Linked DNA regions of Macaca mulatta. The protein of the gene in region 1 interacts with the protein of each later gene in a biochemical or structural test. Links are inferred from orthologs where the notes say so. Each region holds a gene or a part of one and is shown in the gene's direction. Other genes may lie near its edges.

The links.
Region 2: the proteins of SHC1 (region 1) and PTPN12 form a complex in vitro, tested with the Homo sapiens proteins (2 studies listed by BioGRID). The link is inferred for Macaca mulatta from reciprocal best matches to the Homo sapiens genes SHC1 and PTPN12.

The regions. Positions count from the first base shown.
Region 1 is NC_133406.1:112,031,225-112,036,872, forward strand, and holds the start of SHC1 (SHC-transforming protein 1), read left to right. Parts: upstream 1-1,823; 5' UTR 1,824-1,981; coding exon 1,982-2,476; intron 2,477-3,058; coding exon 3,059-3,129; intron 3,130-3,671; coding exon 3,672-3,735; intron 3,736-3,891; coding exon 3,892-4,011; intron 4,012-4,248; coding exon 4,249-4,302; intron 4,303-4,474; coding exon 4,475-4,526; intron 4,527-4,705; coding exon 4,706-4,832; intron 4,833-5,648. UniProt on the Homo sapiens protein: Signaling adapter that couples activated growth factor receptors to signaling pathways. Participates in a signaling cascade initiated by activated KIT and KITLG/SCF.
Region 2 is NC_133408.1:141,996,713-142,002,370, reverse strand, and holds the start of PTPN12 (tyrosine-protein phosphatase non-receptor type 12), read left to right. Parts: upstream 1-1,747; 5' UTR 1,748-2,196; coding exon 2,197-2,295; intron 2,296-2,639; exon of another isoform or gene 2,640-2,807; intron 2,808-5,658. UniProt on the Homo sapiens protein: Dephosphorylates a range of proteins, and thereby regulates cellular signaling cascades. Dephosphorylates cellular tyrosine kinases, such as ERBB2 and PTK2B/PYK2, and thereby regulates signaling via ERBB2 and PTK2B/PYK2.

The DNA.
Region 1 (5,648 bases):
TGAGGCTATAGTGGAATCCTTTCCTCATTCTCTCTATGCCCGAGAGCTGGCTGGAAAAGAAGTGATAAAATTCCTTCTCAGGATTGGCTGACAGAGTGACAAGGCTCTTCTGGAATGAGCACTAAGGGGAGATTTAAGAGTTAAGCACAGTATCTAACACACTTTAAGTGTTAATGTTGTTAATCAGGATAATTATCTATCTATATTTTAATCCTCTGAAGTAAATCTAAGGGTAATTCCAAGGTGAGCTTGGGTGAATACGTATTTTTTTTTTTTTTTGAGGCAGAGTTTTGCTCTTGTCACCCAGGCTGGAGTGCAATGGCACGATCTCAGCTCACTGCAACCTCCACCTCCTGGGTTCAAGCGATTCTCCTGCCTCAGCCTCCCGAGCTGGGATTACAGGTGCTCACCACCACGCCCAGCTAATTTTTGTAGTTTTAGTAGAGACGGGGTTTCACCATGTTGACCAGGCTGGTCTCAATCTTCTGACTTCAGGTGATCCACCCGCCTCGGCCTCCCAAAGTGCTGGGATTACAGGTGTGAGCCACCTTACCCGGCGGGAATATGTATCTTTAACTTGTTTTTTGTTTTTTGGTCGCTTTCCAGCTTTGCCTATGGCATTCTCCAGAAGAGCAGTGGCAGGAAGCCGTGGGTGGCAGGAATGAGTTTGGGACTGTTCCCTGTGTCCAGCTTCAACCCATCTTCTCCTGACACCACTTTCTCCTGTGCTTACTTGTTTTTTCTCCTGTTCTTATTGACACAGATGTGTCTTCTGATCTCTCTGTCCCTTCCTGGCCTGTCGTTTCTGCTTCTCTTGGAGAACTGTTTCTTCCACCTCCTCCAGCCAGGCTCCTCCCCTGGTGTGAGGGACACTGTGCTGTTTGGTGGGGCTTAGGGTCCTGTAAGAGGAGGGATATGAATTGGGGTGGTTTGGAGTGGGAGTGGGGACCTGATTGCCTCATTCTCACCCTTGACAGTGTGCTGTGTTAACAAGGCCTGTGGAAAGGGGAGAGGACAGTGCTTGGCTATGAGCCATGGGTCTTGGTGTGGTAGATGGCATACATAGAGAACAAGCCGTGACCAGCATGTCCTCTTGTTCCCCTCTTGCCTGGTAGCTTCCTGATGTACCATCCAGGTTGGACTTTATTCCCCTTTTTTCACCAACTTTGCTTCTCCTCTTGACCCTGCTCTGCATCCATTGGGACCACTTCCTTCCCATCCCCACTTCGCTAGCTCCAGTCCACAGCTGTCGTAGCAGAGGATGCTAATGGCCCAGGCTTACTGTATGGGGTAGTGGTTGGGGGTGGCCTGGGCTGGAGGGTGGGGAATTCGAGTGTCCAACCAGAACAGGAAGGGAAATGCTGAGCTCTGAGATCTCCTCCCTTTTCCACCCGCAGCTGCCTCTGTTTCCTCCCTCATTCCCCTCTACTCTAGCCTGGCTTCCTGCCCCCTTTGGCCTGCCTGTGTCCGGTTTCGAGTGACCCAGACCTCCTATCTCCTTTCTTTCCGTCCAACTCCTCCATGCTTCCCTCCCACCCCCACTTTCCTTCTCCCCAGATTACTAGTTGTTTGTGTAGGGCAGGGGAGAGGAGCTTGGATAGCCCTACCCTCTGCTCCAGTCCGAGGTTGGGGCGGGGTGGGGGCTCAGCCCCTCTGAGCCTGTGAGTCAGCACTGTCCTCGTGATTGGTCTCTCCCTTTAGCTCTCCGCCCCTGGGGAGGAGCCAGGCAGCTCTGGGTCCAGCCTGTTCTCTTCTCAGCCAGAGAAGAGGCTCCACGTTGGGCGGGGATGGGGCCCGAAACTGTCTGGGTCTGAGCTGGGGAGCGGAAGCCACTTGTCCCTCTCCCTCCCCAGGACTTCTGTGACTCGTGGGCCACAGAGGTCCGACCAGGCTAAGGGCCTGGGGATACCCCCTGCCTGGCCCCCTTGCCCAAACTGGCAGGGGGGCCAGGCCGGGCAGCAGCCCCTCTCTCACCTCAGCTATGGATCTCCTGCCCCCCAAGCCCAAGTACAATCCACTCCGGAATGAGTCTCTGTCATCGCTGGAGGAGGGGGCTTCAGGGTCCACCCCCCCGGAGGAGCTGCCTTCCCCATCAGCTTCATCCCTGGGGCCCATCCTGCCTCCTCTGCCTGGGGACGATAGTCCCACTACTCTGTGCTCCTTCTTCCCCCGGATGAGCAACCTGAGGCTGGCCAACCCGGCTGGGGGGCGCCCAGGGTCTAAGGGGGAGCCAGGAAGGGCAGCCGATGATGGGGAGGGGATCGTAGGGGCAGCCATGCCAGACTCAGGCCCCCTACCCCTCCTCCAGGACATGAACAAGCTGAGTGGAGGCGGCGGGCGCAGGACTCGGGTGGAAGGGGGCCAGCTGGGGGGCGAGGAGTGGACCCGCCACGGGAGCTTTGTCAATAAGCCCACGCGGGGCTGGCTGCATCCCAACGACAAAGTCATGGGACCCGGGGTTTCCTACTTGGTTCGGGTGAGTGAACATCCTCCTTTCCATTGCCTCCCAGACCCCTCCAGTTCTTCTGCTCACTCCAGCTTGGCTGGAATTCTTTTTTCCTGCTGTTCCCCAACAACCCTGTTTCAGTGTTCTATTTCCTAAACCTTTCCCATCCCTTCCCCAATTCTGTAGCCCTTTCCCTTCCAGCTCTGCCTGGGCCCCCTTCCTTCTTTTGACTCCCCTACCCCCACCCTGCCATGCTTAGCACAATGCCCAGCATGGCAGAAGCTCTTAATAAGTGCTGGAAGGAGTGACTTCTTGATCCTTTCCTCCATTCTCCTCCCGCTTTCTGGAGTTGTTGCTCCATCCCAGTCAGTGCCTGTCAGTCCCCTCCAAACTCTCTCCCCAGTGCGTGAGGTCCTTCTAGCCTGCCTTTTCTTTCTCTGCTCGTTCCCTGTTGTCTTTCACCTTGGTTGTGGGATGTAGACACGGGAAGAGGGCAGAACTTCTTCCTCTTTACTTCTCTTAGGGACCATATGGGCAAAGTCCTAGGGCCCTTTGTGAAGGGACTGGGGTCAGGGAGCGGCTGACCTGCTGTCCTCTCCTCCCTCCCCTTAGTACATGGGCTGTGTGGAGGTCCTTCAGTCAATGCGTGCCCTGGACTTCAACACCCGGACTCAGGTTACCAGGTTAGTGGGGAGGGAGTGGACTGTGGGAGTCCTGGGATTAGTGAGGCCATGGGAAAGGGCGGAGGGGAGTGGGTCACTTGGGTGCTGCTGGTTGGGGCTGATCTTTGGGTAGTAAAGGGGATTGAGAGAAAGCTGGGATAGTGATTCTGCCTCTTACTGAAAGGAGGCCCCTCTGGCCCGGATCCTCCTTACCTGTCCAGCCTTGGGAGTTGTGGGGAAGGTAGCAGAAGCAGCTGGCAGGTGGAGCTGGAGTAGCAAATGGGGTAGATGGAAGGTTGCTGCTGCCTTTGGGAAGGGAATGGGACATTTGGTAGCTGGAAGGGGGTGGGGCTATACCCATTGAGGCCCTAACCCAATCAGCCAGGAAGCGGCCTCTCAGTGTCATCAAATATTAAAGGCCCTTAATTCAATCCACCACGACAAAGAGCCTGGAGTGCCCTGGGAGTCTGGCCTGGCTTTCCCCTCCCCCAGCTCTGTGGCAGCCCCAGTTGAGTGGGAGGCAGGCAGGCAGGCGCTGGGTCTGAGTACCCCTCTTTCCCCAGGGAGGCCATCAGTCTGGTGTGTGAGGCTGTGCCGGGTGCTAAGGGGGCGACAAGGAGGAGAAAGGTACTTGGGGTCCTTGGGGATAGGGATGCTGCTGGGAAATGTGGAGGGACAGTGAGGAGGCAAGTGTGGGGCATGTGGGGAGAGGGCCAGGAGACAAGAGTATGGTTTGTCTGTGCTGGGAACCCTCACCTTCTAAGACCCTGGGCCCTACCTTAGCCCTGTAGCCGCCCGCTCAGCTCTATCCTGGGGAGGAGTAACCTGAAATTTGCTGGAATGCCAATCACTCTCACCGTCTCCACCAGCAGCCTCAACCTCATGGCCGCAGACTGCAAACAGGTTGGTGGAGGTGGGCAGGTGGACCAGAAACACCGATGGGGGTGCTAAGGGGAGATCTAGTTAGGAGGCCAAAAACTAGGAAGAGGGCTTGAGAGCAGAAGACCAGTAGGGAAGGAGGAAATGAGGATATGGGATAAGGAACCCAGAGAATGAGACTGGGGCACCAGGGTTCTGGGCCCTGAGGCTGCCTGACACATGGCATTCCCTTCCTTCTCCATCCCCTCCCCTAATTCTCAGATCATCGCCAACCACCACATGCAATCTATCTCATTTGCATCCGGCGGGGATCCGGTGAGTTGGGGAACAGAGCAAAGGTGGTGGGAGAAGAGCAAGGGGCTAGTGATTGGGAAGACATTGATTAGAGAAGTGGGGGTGCTAGGACTGTGGGGATATCTGAAAAGGACTGGGTTTTAGGGGTCAGGAGTAAAGTGGAACTGTAAAATTTTCTGACTTTCCTCCCCAGGACACAGCCGAGTATGTCGCCTACGTTGCCAAAGACCCTGTGAATCAGAGAGGTGAGGCATGGTGGGGAGCACTGGGTGGGTCTGGCTGTTTGAGGTGAGTAGGACCTGGGGTCATTTGTACCCACTCTAAGTAGATCTAAGTGGGGGTTCCTGCCGAGGAAGATGAGGGCCCCTGTCTGTGCCTCCTCCCAGTGGGCTCAACTCACTGACAGCCTCTGCTGTGCCCTCAGCCTGCCACATTCTGGAGTGTCCCGAAGGGCTTGCCCAGGATGTCATCAGCACCATTGGCCAGGCCTTTGAGTTGCGCTTCAAACAATACCTCAGGAACCCACCCAAACTGGTCACCCCTCATGACAGGTGAGCAAGTGGGGAGAGTGTGGAGCAGCTTTTGAGACCAAGATTGGGAAAGGAGGGCTGTTCTTCCCACACTTGAGCTGAGAGGTTCAGGGAGGGAATAACCTGTGTGCCTCTGCTTCCCACTTCCTGCTATTCTTCTGTTTCCTGTGGCCCAGGAGGAAAGGCTTTTGAGGCCCTGCTTGCCGCAGGGCCAGCTTTTCTTGTTTGCTCATGGTGGAGCTGTAGTCCAGGGCCTCCAAGTTACATCTCTCTCTGGCTAGGTGGGATTTTCTATTCCCATTCCTCTTTCTTGCTCATTTCTCTGCTTGGCATTCTGTGTTTTCCTGCCTCTAGAAGCCATCAAGACTTTGGGTTTGGGAGGATATCTCTTTTCCCTGAGATTACAATCTTTCCCACCTCAGGCCTTGAGGGATAAGCAGTGGAGCCAGTAGGGATTGGAGGTAAAATCTGGAGCTGGAGCGCCTCCCTGCTGACGCTGACACACACAGACAGACAGACAGACACACACACACACACACACACACACACACACCCCACCCCCCCCCCCCATAGTGCTTCTGGAGCTGGAGCGCCTCCCACAGAGATCAAGAGCAAAAGCATTACTTACTTATTTTGAGACAGAGCCTTGCTCTGTAGCCCAGGCTGGAGTTCAGTGGTGCAATCACAGCTCAATGTAGCCTTCATACCCTGGGCTTGAGTGATCCTCCCACCTTAGCCTCCTGAGTAGATGGGACCACAGGTGCATGCCACCACACGTGGCTGAGTAGTAGTATTTTTATTTTGGTAGAGATAAGGTCTTGCTATGTTGCCCTGGCT
Region 2 (5,658 bases), on another chromosome or scaffold:
ACAGGCGTGAGCCACTGCACCCGGTCTGACGTGCCTATTTCTGGGGTGGATATATTAGTTGGATTATTTTAAGAGAAATATTTTCCTTTTTTTGAAGAAGTAAATAAACTGTATCCTGTTACACCTATTTTCTTTCTTTTTCTTTTTTTATGAGACAGGGCCTCAGTCTCGTCGCCCAGGTTGGTGTGCAGTGGTGTGATCACGGCACACTGCAACCTCCGCCTCCTGGTGATCTTCCCATCTCGGCCTCCCAAAGTGATGGAATTACAGGCATGAGCCACCACGCCCGGCCTACACCTGTTTTCTTCTATGAGTTTTTCACTAAATTCCATAGTGCTCCTAACTTTCATCTAATAAAGTATTCTACCACTGATATTTCCTATTATAACCAAATTCCCTGCTCTGTACAAAAACGTTTGTGGGTATAAATGATGAAATTCAGTTCACGGATCAAATCCTTCAGTTCTGTCACATTGTGAGAGGCCACTGTTGTGAAAGTAAAATAACTTGTGTTCTAGTTACGGCTCTGCTAAGAATACTCTGGGGGATGTCAGGAAGTCGCTTTATTTGTAAAATGATGAGTTAGACCAGAATAAATTCTCTGATAGAAGTTTACAAAGATGAATAAAGATTTATAGGCCAGGCACGGTGGCTCACGCCTAGAATCCCAACGCTTTCGGAAGTTGAGGGGGTGAGGATCCCCAGTGCACAGAAATTTGAGATCAGCCTGGGCAACCTAGTGAGACCCCTTCTCTACCAAAACTAAACAAATAAATAATAAATTTTAAAAATGTATTAGCTGGGCTTGGTGATGTACTGAGGTAGGAGGATCCCTTGAGCCCAGGAGTTCAAGGCTGCAGCGAGCCGTGATCATAGCACTGCACTATGGGCGATAGAGCAAGACCTTAGCTCTGGGGAAAAAAAAAAAAAGATTTAATAGATTTATAAATAAAGTCCATTCTACTGAGGGAAGTCTCTTATTCAGTTATGAACTGCTGCGAACCTCAAGGCAGGAAGGCAAATTTCCTTCAGTTCGGCAAACACGAAGATCCCACACCCGCGTCATCCGGGAAGAAGGCACTCCGAACCTCAGGCGCTCACTCGCCAGGTTTAAGAGGATGCGCAAATAATAAAAGTCCTCTCACCCAGGAAGCGTTTCACTTCCCTTAGCTGAGCCACACTCCAAGGTGCCGAAGCCTAATTGCTATCCACTCTCACCAATCCGTTACCAAAATGAGCATCTACCTGCCGCGAACGTGGCGGTGACACTACTACAGTTCCCAGCCTGCCTCCAGCCAGCCCTCGCCCGCCCCCACTCCTGGACTCCACAGGCCGTGACTTGTAGGCCCAGTCCACGGCTGGCGGCGGTGCGGGACTCCTGAAAACTGCTTCTCTTCCCTAGTAGGCGGTGAGACCGCAAATTCCAGCAGAATCCTACTCTGATACACTACTGCTTGCCCCGCTCTGAGTCGCATTCCCTCCTTCGGAGGAACCAACTCTCCTCCCGACGCTACTCCGACCTCTAAGATCCCTGAACGGGGCCACGCCCCGGAAGTGGAGTCAGGTCTCCAGGCCGCCCGCTGAAGTGCCTTCCAGCCACTCCAAGCGGGCCTGGGGCCGGCAGGGCGGGCTTGGGGGCGTGGCCGGGAGGCGGGCGGGGATGGATCAGCAGGCGCGGCGCTTGGGGCGGAGCCGCAGCGCGAGGCCGCGCATCTGGGTGGCGGCGGGGACGCGCCCGTGGGGAGAGGCGGCTGCGGCTGCGGCTGCTGGCGGGGGGTGGGGGGGAGGAAGAACCGGGAAGGGGGGGCAGGGCGAGCGGAGAGCTAGCTGTGTTCCTGAGGCGGCGGCGGCGGCGGCGGCGGCGGCGGCGGCGGCGGCGGCGTCTCCGACGGAGGAGGAGGGCGGGGAAGGAGGATGGAGCAAGCTGGGGGTTGGGGTTGGCGCTAGCCGCAGCGGCTCGCCTGGTACTGTGGGAGAGCGGCGGCTGCTCCTGGAAGTTGTGGTGTCGGGAGCCCAGCCGGTGCCGCCGCAGCCGCCGCCTAGGGCAGTGGGGAGGAGGAGGGAGCCGCGGGGCTTGGCGGGGGTCGGGAGGGAGGGACGTGCTGGGGAAACGAGCTGGGGAAGACGGAGCGGGCTCTGCGCCGGGCGGGCGGGCGGCGGGGGGGCCAGCGACCGCAGCCGGGGGGACGCGGGAGGATGGAGCAAGTGGAGATCCTGAGGAAATTCATCCAGAGGGTCCAGGCCATGAAGAGTCCTGACCACAATGGGGAGGACAACTTCGCTCGGGACTTCATGGTGAGTCTCTCCCCTCGCTGTCGCCTTGTCTCGCCGGCGCCGGAGCCCATCGCCGCCTCTCCCGGCCGGGCCGCCAGTGCTTTGTGTACCTCTGTGAGGAAAGGGGCGGAGGGGGCGCGCACCAGCCCGGTGGGCCGGGTGGTCTTGGAAGCCGGCGGGAATCGAGAGCGCCTCCCGCCGTGGCCTCCTTTCTTCTCCCATGTTCGCGACCCCCGCGCGGGCGCCCGGGGCGCGAAGGGAGCGGCCGAGCGGCCGAGCCTGCAGCCTGCACCGCGGCTCGCGACCACCTATTGTTTACCCGGCCGGGAGCCGGAGACTAGTGAGGTGCAGGCCGGGGGGTGCTCGCGTTTCCACATCTCCCCGCCCAGTCCGCTCCTCCCAGGAGGGTCGAGGCAGGGTATCTGGCTGTGACCGGGAGGAGTGCAGATCGTGGCTGACAGAGGAACGGGGGAATTGAGGTTGGCACTAACTCCTGGGATCCCTTTGCTTTAGCTGGTCTCAAAGCGGGCAAGGTAGGACTTCTGCCGTTTCTGGGGTCGCAATCATGATCTCCAACGCTTGGGAAAGGATTGTCCATAAGGAATCTCATGGGTTTACCTAATTTCCATTTACCCGCGTCCCGCTTCTCCTCTCTTGAGACCCAGGTTTAAGGTGATCTTGGGGTCCGGTTCAGGGGATAAGTGTGGGTGGGGGGGATTATCCTGAAGGAAACCGACTTCGGACTCCCCAGGGGATATTGCCGAAGGCGAAGGGGATGTGACTATCACTTCCTATCCGGGGTGGGGGTGGGGAACTTGGGAACAATAGTCCTGGTGGGGCGGAGGCGTCGCTACGGGCCGAAGCCCTGAACTGGGAGATAACCTTCCCAGCGCCCCCCCCCGCCTCCGCCACCCCCCACTTTCCGCCCTCTGCTTGTGCAAGCAGGCTTGAGAGGAGGTGAAGGTTAAAAGTCTTGTTCATGAAACTGCTCTAGATACACTATTGCTCTAGCTCACTATGAGGGGGTCAGATCCGAAGGCGTGGGACCAGAAGTCGACTTCCTATGTTACCCACCCCCCCCAACCCCCGCCCCTTTTATTTTTCTGCTGGACAATGTTCCCTCTAGGGTTGTTTCCCGGCTTAGGAGGCGGTGGTTGCGGCTGCTGCTCCTACGGATATTGCGCAAGACTGGGGCGTTGGAAACCCTGTAGGTCTGGGGAATGGAAAAGGAAGTGGGACTTTGGGAAGTGGTTGCTCCTTAGTCTTGGCGGGGGTTGGGAAGGGGAAATCAGCTAGGGAAAATTTTTATCCTGGGTAAGGTACACCTCCAAGAATAATCACTTAACTCTGAAACCTGATTATGAAAAGGATACACAGTTAATATCTGTAAAATGAATGGGCAGCAGACATTGGCTAGTTTTTATTTTTTATTTAAAAAGTACAGTAGTTTTTATGGTGGAGGTGATATGACTTAGTAGTGAATACTTTTTCACGTTTTAAAGAGACCTGTCCAGTAAAGCTTAGCGTTAAATTTTTAACTGCTTATAAAATAGGTCCTTGACCTTACACAATATTATACTAGTATCGTTGAGCTTTGTGATTCCCGCCTCCCCAGACCAATAATTGAGGATGGAAGTAAAGTTTTCTCAGTATCTTTTGAAGATTGAAAATATAAGTTAAATAATCTAACTTATTCCTTATTAAAAATAAAAATATTGCTTATATTTAAACATTTGCTCTTGATATTTAGCCTATGTATTTTTGAAAAATTACTTTTTGATCTGAAAGGGTTAAGGAAAAGAGGGTATTTTCCTTTTTTACTATTGAACTTTAATTGTCTTAGTATCTTTTGAATGGTGTCATTTACAGCAACTGGATGCAGTCCCCTTTTTACTACTTTCTAGCGAAAGTAGAAGAAAATACTTTGAATATTTAAGGCGTTTAAAACTAGCTTTTTTTGTTTTTGTTTTTGAGACGAGTCTTGCTCTGCGCTCTGTAGCCCAGGCTGGAGTGCAGTGGTGCAATCTCAGCTCACTGCAACCTCTGCCTCCCAGAGTCAAACGATTCTCCTGCCTCAGCCTCCCAAGTAGCTGGGACTACAGGCGCAAGCTACCACGCCCAGCTAATTTTTGTATTTTTAGTAGAGATGGGGTTTTGCCATATTTGCAGGCTGGTCTCAAACTCCTCATCTCAAGTGATCCACCTGCCTTGGCCTCCCAAAGTGCTGGGATTACAGGCGTGAGCCACTGTGCCGGGCCTAAAACTAGTTTTTTACCATCTTATTTTGGTTATGGAAGAAGAGATGGTGTGGTCCCTGGTCATTTCTTGTTTGCATGCTAGTCACCTTGTTATCCCTAGGCATATACCGACAGGGAGGAGCATTGTTTGGTGATGCGGGCCATCAGGACAGGTGCCCAGCCTCTGAACTCCTGTATTGGAGAAGTAGCCTTAGGGTTCATGCTTTGGGGATGAGTCAGGGATTCCTATTGGAGAGTTCATTTCTTTCTTTCTTTCTTTCTGTCTGTCTGTCTGTCTGTCTGTCTGTCTGTCTTTCTTTCTTTCTTTCTTTCTTTCTTTCTTTCTTTCTTTCTGTCTTTCTTTCTTTCTTTCTGTCTTTCTTTCTTTCTTTCTTTCTTTCTTTTCTTTTCTTTTCTTTCTTTCTTTCTCGCTTTCTCTCTCTCTCTCTCTCTCTCTCTCTTTCTTTCTTCTTTCTTTTTCAGATGGAGTCTCGTCTGTCGCCCAGGTTGGAGTGCAGTGGTGCAATCTCCGCTCACTGCAACCTCCACCTCCCAGGTTCAAGCGATTCTCCTGCCTCAGCCTCCTGAGTAGCTGAGATTACAGGCGCATGCCACCACGCCTGGCTAATTTTTGTATTTTTAGTAGAGATGGGGTTTCATGGTATTGGCCAGACGGGTCTTGAACTTTGATCTGACTGACTTTGTGATCTGCCGCCTCAGTCTCCCAAAGTGCTAGAATTACAGGCATGCGCCACCGAGAGTTCATTTCTCAAAGACTGAATGAGTTTCCTTTTTCTTCCATAATACCTAGGTATAGCTAGGTGATTCTACACTGGAGATTTGATGACTAAGGCTATTCTTTTATAGGGCTTGGTTTTTTTTTTTTTTATTTCCTGACTTGATAAGCAATAGCTGTAATTAAGGCAGCTGGTAGTTGGTGTTGCTTTTTCCCCTGACTGGAAGGCTGGAGAGGAACTATGTTCCCCTGGCATGGAAAGAGAAAAAAAATATTAGCTTATAGATTCTAACTATTATTCTTAAATTCTGATGTTGATTAAAAATGCATTTTAAAATCTTAACATTTTATGACTGAGCCTTAGAGTTAATGTGACTGATATAACTCTGTTCCATTATAAAATAATGTTTA